Macaca mulatta: one gene and its partner. The protein of the gene in region 1 purifies or fractionates together with the protein of each later gene. This does not show direct contact. Links are inferred from orthologs where the notes say so. Each region holds a gene or a part of one and is shown on either strand. Other genes may lie near its edges.

Region 1 (3,368 bases):
CCTTTTTTTTTTTTTTGAGACAGAGCCTCACTCTGTCACCAGACTGGAGCTCAGTGGCGTGATCTCAACTTGCTGTAACCTCTGCCTCCCCAGTTCAAGCAATTCTTCCACCTTGGTGTCCCGAGTAGCTGGGACTACAGGCACCCACCACCATGCCTCGCTAATTTCTGTATTTTTAGTAGAGAAGGGATTTCACCATGTTGGCCAGGCTGGTTTTGAACTCCTGACCTCAAGTGATCCACCCAGCTCAGCCTCCCAAAGTGCTGGGATTACAGGTGTGAGCCACCAGGCTCGGCTCCCTGGCCCTCTTCTAAGGGCTGCAGATACCTCATCTCACTTAATCCCATCTAGACTGTGTAGATCTCATCATCCATAGGCATGGACAGCACAGAGAGGAAACTGAGGCTCAGAATAACTGGCCACCAATGGGAAGGGGCCAAGCTGTTACACAGCCTGTGCTCACATGGTGTAACCCTGGTAGACACCTCCTCCCTACCCCAACCCTGGGTCAAGGAACCAGGCCAGGACCTAAGCACAGTTGGTGTCCTGTGGACATGAATTTATTAGAGGGGACCAGGACCAGAGTGGGCACAAGCTGCGGGCTGGGAGGAAGGGGCAGGGGTGGGGGCATAGCCAGTGGTGTGTCAGTCAGCGGGCCAGCAGGCGTGCTGTTCTTCACCCTGTAGGGCTTCAGTGCCCAGGGCGTGCCAGAGGCTTTGGGAAGACTGCGGAGAGGAAAGAGTGAGGCTCAGAGAGGAAACCTGCCGAGCTCACACAGGAAGGGCAGCACGTCGATTCCAGGCCCACAGCACTCCCTCTCATACTGTTGGTCCTCACTCCTGCCTCCCAAGCTCCCACACCAGCCCTGCAGCTGCTGTCCCATCCTGCACTCACTGCGGAGGGAGTAGGTGCCTGGTTCCAGTTGCATCTGCGGGGGCAAGACGATGAGAAAGTCCCCACCCCAGGTGTTTTTGACCCTTGAGAGATAATTTTGGGAAGGAGGACGATGACACTCCGAGGTCAGAGAAGGGCACTTGGATGACACAGGCTTAAGCTGGTGGCGGCTGCAGTGCTGGGGCAAGCCACAGGGGGAACAGTGGGGCGGCGAGAGGCCAGGACCCCGGGGAAGGTGAACAGGGACCTGTGGACAGACCCTCTGAACCCCACCATGGTGGGGGCGCCGGTCCCGAGTCCAAGCCCAGTGGAATGGCTCCTTTGCCATGACCTGGGAGGAGCAGAGTGGACAGTAAATGGGGTGGGAACCCCAGCCTTCCCCACACCCCAGGCTGCCTCCACAACCTCACCTCCTCACAGCACTGGCGGCTCACAACAGCCCGGAAACCCATCCGTGCCCAAAGCTTATCCCTCTGGTGCAGGAATTTCCCCACTCGTAAACACCAATCTTTTCCCAAGGCCCATGGAAAAATCTCACATTTGGGCCCCTCCAGGTCCTCCTCCATGTCGTTTGCAAGGTACCTAGCCACAGAGGCACGGGGTCAGGGAGCAGAGGCCACACATCTGCCCCGTCCCATCCGACACCTCCACCAGATAATGCCTCCACTGCCTGCCCCCGCCACTCACAGGGCCAAGAACAGGCTGCTGTGGGTGTACTCGCTGAGCTTCAGGTGGGCGCGCTGGAAGTAGACCAGCACCATGGCCAGGAGATACTGCAGAGACAGATCAGGGTCGGGGGGTTAGTTATCCTCTGAGGAGGAGGGGCTTGCACCCAGGTTCATTTGCACCCAAGGAGGTTGTGCTGCAGGGAAAGAAAGTCAGTAAAATGGTGGGAAGGGGTATGCAAAGATGAACTGGTAAGGGTGGAAGGGGAGTGGCTCTCCCTACCAGACCAGGGCACCCAATAAAGCAGCGGCACTCAATTCCCACCAACTCAACCTGAACCTCAAGAGACCCCCAGCCTGTGCTCTCTCACCTTATCTGAAATCTGGAAGCAGGGGTCTTTGGAGAGGAATTCCTGGACAAAACTGTCCTCTGAGGGTAGAGAAGACAGGACGCAGGTTACCACCGCCTCCATGGAGAAGAGTGGCATCAGAAGCTCCAAAGCCCAAGCCGCCACTGAACCCTCTCTCTCTCTCTCTCTCTTCTTTCTCTCTTTCTTAATGTAAATAGAGATGAGGTCTCACTATGTTGACCAGGCTGGTCTTGAACTCTTGGTCTCAAGTAATCCTCCCATCTCAGCCTCCCAAAGTGTTGGGATTATAGGTATGAGTCACGGCGCCTGGCCCTGAACCCAGTTTCTGAGAGGACTCCCCTCCTACCTGCCTAAGCTGGGTTACCTTGAGAGGGTGAGGGTCAGAGGCCTCAGATGTCTGTACAGGAAGGTGAGACCTCACACTTCACGTCTGCTTTCACACTTGGCCTCACAGTCCCTCCCGTGCCAGCCCTCCAAACTCACCCAGAAGGCTGAGGAAGGCCTGGACCTCCTGGTGCTGGCGAAAACGGAGGAACCCATTGCCCCCACCTTGCCGGCTGCAGCCCCCCAGCTCTACCTGGGTGGTAACTACAGGGGAAGTGGTGGGGTCTTGGCAGTCACTCATCTCATAAGAGATGGAGATGGGGCAGGTTGACCTGTAGAGAAAGGAGGCTCAGGACTTAGCATGTACCCCCATGACGCCCACAAATCAAGAGGGTGGTGACAGGGGCCAGGACGGCGGAGGGGTGGGTGCAGAGACTTGGGGGCTCAGAATAGAAGGCAGTTGGGATGCAAGAGGAGTGGGGAGGTCAGAAAAGAAGCAAAGAGTTGCTATGGGCTGCGGCACCCCCGCCCTCCTCCTGGCACCCCAGGACAGGCCAGAGTAACAGCAGCAACAAGCACGGCTGAGGGCTTCCTAAGTGCCTGGAGCTGTGCTTAAGGGCCTTATCTTATTCCATTCTGGTAAGGAGGTAAGATTAACTCGGACCCATTTTTAAACGAGGAAACTGAAAACCTCACAGCCAGTTAAAAGTGAAGTCTTTGGTCTCCAAAACCCCAAGAGGTTTTTCGGGTTTCGTTTGTTTGTTTGTTTGTGTGTTTTGAGACAGAGTCTCTCTGTCGCCAAGGCTGGAGTGCAGTGGCGCGATGTCGGCTCACTGCAACCTCCGCCTCCCGGGTTCAAGAGATTCTCCAGCCTCAGCCTCCCGAGTAGCTGGGATTACAGGCATGCGCCACCACGCCCGGCTAATTTTTTGTATTTTTTGGTAGAGACGGGGTTTCACCGTGTTGGCCAGGCTGGTCTCACACTCCTGACCTCCCAAAGTGCTGGGATTGCAGGCGTGAGCCACTGCGCCTGGCAAAAAAAGAAAAAAAACCCAGAGCTTAACTGCTCCTCCAGGCCCCAACTCACAACCACCCCCGACCCCTCACCAAAGCA
Region 2 (3,749 bases), on another chromosome or scaffold:
CAATTAAAGTACTTTTCTCAGAAGTCAAATCTGTAGTTTCCTATAGGTTTGGAGTTCTATCATCTTAAAGAAAAATATATTTATACTTTAAGAAGGTCTCTTTTTATGCCAAACTGAAATCAACACAAATTCCCTGGGAATTTAAGAAACATACTACAAAGCATTAGACATACTAATCACATTATTTTTAATTCAGCAGCAAAATGTGTTTAGTAGAATGGGTATGAGGTATTTAATTTGTTTAAAAATAAAAATAAATACACACACACACCCCTCCAATCGAACACCACACTAACTTGTCATTCCTATTTCACTAAATTCCCTCCAGTATTCCCCCCTTGTTTTTTTACTATTTCTTGTCAAGTGAGGTCTTTGATCACATTAAAAATATAGTTGTGAATTTCCTTCTGGCAGAACCGATATAAACTGGATTCTACTAGCAAATTATTTTGTACCTGGAGAATTGAGAATGTTCTGTTGGAGTCAAGGAACAGGCGAAGGGATATACCCCTCATTTGTGCCATATATAGATCTGATCATTCCTTCAAGTACCACAGAAAGGGAATGATTATATACGTAAGTTATAGTTTTAGAATAGCTTAAACATGTACATATGACAGGTCATTTTTTTCTTACGGTAACTAAATAGAAATTTTATTTAAATTAGATTAAGTCAATTATTGTAACCAGTCTATAAAGGCTGGATAAGAATATTTATCATCCTAAAAATAATTGAAAGAGACTAAAAATAGACTATGAAATTAGCATAATTCTGCATCCCTAACCTCTGCCCCTCAACACATGTGCAAGTCATCAATAGTGTCTTCAAAATACAAGTATTTCTGATACTTCTTTAGTATCAGAAGACTGTAAGACTATGGGGGTGAAGGGATGGGTCATTAGGGATTCAGTAATTTCAATTCTCTTGAAATGTGAACAAATTTGCGTTTATTAAGTAAAGAACATATATTAATGCACACTGGTACTACAAGACATCTTAATGGTTGAATTTTAATAAATATTTACATGTGTTCATATTACAGAAGTTGTAGCATTGTTAAATCATCCCCAAAAATTTATATTACTAAAACCACTCACCTTCTCCAATTTTCTCTATTTTGGTATAATCTTCCATAGTTAGTCAATGGGTATGGCAGATCCTAAAATGAAGGAAAAACTGACTTAATTACATGCCACTAACTTGAGTAGTTTTTAGCATTACACTATATGTAAAGCATTTTCCACTGTGCCTACTGCAGTACATAAGTATTCCATAAATATTAACTACATTCAAACAATATTTACAAGGGTAAGGACTCCTACAATAACTTTCCATCCTTCTGGACTCCTGAGACATTGGAAACGTGTATATTCTATACTAGTGTAGTATTTATTTAGCTTCTTCCAATCAAAATAACCCTCAAATTCAGATATCAACTTGTCTATTCTTTCCAAAGAAAAACCAGAATTATGTTCCCTTGTTGTGACACTAGTATCTGAGTGTGCCAAAGTTATACCCAAATATTTCAACAAATTTATACCGCTTTATGATATTTCTAATTTTATTCAAAACACTATTTTTTATAGTTATAAGGGGAGAACTAAAATGTGTTCAGATTGTTCATTAGGAAAATTTTGTTTAAAGCGGCAAAAACATTTTAAGCGTTTCCAGTTGCCCACGTGACAATTTTAATCTTTTTTTCCTCTGCTTGCAGAGGTCACAAACATGCTCAAGACTTTCAAGGTACTTTTTCCAAGAGTCGGAAATATCACTTAAGCACCCTAAAACAAAAGAATGAAAAGTGCAATTCCACAGATAAAATTCTAATTATAGCCTACACAATGTCAAGGACTAAGCAGAAAAACTGTATACCTGAATCACAATGAATGGGTTTAAAAAAAAAACAAAAAACAACCAGAAGTTCAAGACTTCCTCTGAAGTTTGTCAATGAAACGTCAGAACTCCAGGCATAATTACCTAGATTTTTCTAACACCCATCACTGATGATAAGATCATTTATAAAGCCCGCTCTGAACAGACCTTTAAGTTCTATTTCCCACATTCATCTTCAAAGAAAAAAATCAATCCAGAAAGAAGCAGAGATATATCTTTTTAAATGAAAAAAACTGCACTACACTGCTCATGAGTGTTAAGTGCCTGGGCTGAGTGTTCTTAACAGCTCCAGGTGGGCCGGGGCCGTGGGCAGAGCAAGCCCCAGAAGGCCCACGAGTTCCGGGATCGGTTTCTCAGGGCAGCCTCGCTTTAGGAATCTGCGCCTGTACCTGGCCCAGGTGCGGTCCCGCTTTCCCACCTCCGAGGCGGGATGGGAGGGCGCTCAGGGGCCGGGCCCAGGAAGGAGCCTGCCACTCCGCTGGCGCTCAGTGTGGGGGAGCGGATTTTGCTTCAATCAAGACCCGAAAGCCTCCTAAGGCAGTTCCTAAACAGCCGACCTGAACTCACGACTGCAGCCCCGAACCCCCACCCCCACCCCCACGCCGCCTAACCCCGCCAGGCTGGGCTCCCATAGCCTCCCTCTAAAGCCGGCGCAGTGTGGTTCACACGCCCAGGCCCAGGCAAAGGCCCTGCCCACCCCACCCCGAGGCCCAGCCTGGCTCCGCGCAGGTCCCTGCTCTCCAGTCCGGCCTTCTTAGAGGAGGACCCCGTTCTTCAATACTCGCCCTTCGAGGTCCCCGGGCCATCCGCTAGACACGACCCTGACCCCAGCCACTGTACCCGGCTTATTATCCCGCGGCGGCCGCAGCGGCAGCTACCACAACCGCGTAACTCTCCGCTCAACTTCCAAGAGCCAGCTTTGAAGCCAAGTGCGAGCAGTTTCAAACTCACCGCGCTAAAGGACCCCGGATCCACCAATCGGGTAGAACGTAGACTTTCAAAGCAGCCAATCAGAGCCCAGCTACGCTAGGCTGGCCTTCCCGGGTGTCTAGAGCGCGAAAGAAAGAGGAAAGGGCGGCTAGAGAAAAAGCAGGAGGGCGGGCGCCAACTGAGTGCGAGCGCAAGCGCTCTCCTCCAGCCGGGAGAGTGTCGTCCTACTGTTTCTAGTCAGCGGAGCAGGAAACTACTGTTCGCTCCGTTCTTCTTTTAAATTTTTTCTCTGAGCATTGGCACAGTTCAAAATTATTATCCTCAAAATAGCTCATCAAAAAAGTGATATTGGGTTTACATCGAGATTCCATTACTTTCACTTCTAATACTTAGGGTTAGGAGTGTATAGTTATGTTTTTCTAAATGCGTGATTTGCGGGCTGGCTCCAAGGAGCACCTTTCAGTGACCTTAAGAAGGTAATGGAAAACTTAAAAGACTGTCTCAAAACTGTAAAGGAAGATTTATTATTTATATCGCTGTGCTTTGTTTCTACCTCATTTTTGAATTTAATATTAAATTATTTTATTATTTACATTTTGTGTATTATGCAATTAAAAACATTTGAAATGTAAATTTTAAAATATTTTCACATCAGAATTTTAAATATATAGAGAGAGGCATGTATTTAGAGCCTGGGTTTCATTATGCTATGCATGCTGGCCTCCAACTCCTGGGCTCAAGCAATCAGCCTCAGCCTCCAGCGTAGCTGTGACTACAGGCACCCGCCACCATGACCAGCTTAAATATTATTAAAACACAAAAATTCACAATTCTATGAGGGGAGAAAAAGAGGTTTAAATTATGCTTTAAATAATCCAGTGTCAAAAACTCTGTCTTCATTGCCATCCACAATATCCTTAAGACA

Evidence for each region. Proteins that work in one complex are often made in the same cells at the same time.
Region 2: the proteins of SPDYC (region 1) and CDK1 purify together in Homo sapiens (co-immunoprecipitation; 3 studies listed by BioGRID and IntAct, with this or other methods). This does not show direct contact. The link is inferred for Macaca mulatta from reciprocal best matches to the Homo sapiens genes SPDYC and CDK1.

Annotation. Positions count from the first base shown.
Region 1 is NC_133419.1:9,206,403-9,209,770, forward strand, and holds the end of SPDYC (speedy protein C), read right to left. Parts: intron 2,587-3,368; 5' UTR 2,556-2,586; coding exon 2,414-2,555; intron 1,990-2,413; coding exon 1,931-1,989; intron 1,668-1,930; coding exon 1,582-1,667; intron 1,477-1,581; coding exon 1,305-1,476; intron 1,226-1,304; coding exon 895-1,225; intron 726-894; coding exon 691-725; 3' UTR 536-690; downstream 1-535. UniProt on the Homo sapiens protein: Promotes progression through the cell cycle via binding and activation of CDK1 and CDK2. Involved in the spindle-assembly checkpoint. Required for recruitment of MAD2L1, BUBR1 and BUB1 to kinetochores.
Region 2 is NC_133414.1:89,039,172-89,042,920, forward strand, and holds the start of CDK1 (cyclin-dependent kinase 1), read right to left. Parts: upstream 2,751-3,749; 5' UTR 2,735-2,750; intron 2,703-2,734; exon of another isoform or gene 2,680-2,702; intron 1,161-2,679; 5' UTR 1,136-1,160; coding exon 1,099-1,135; intron 1-1,098. UniProt on the Homo sapiens protein: Plays a key role in the control of the eukaryotic cell cycle by modulating the centrosome cycle as well as mitotic onset; promotes G2-M transition via association with multiple interphase cyclins.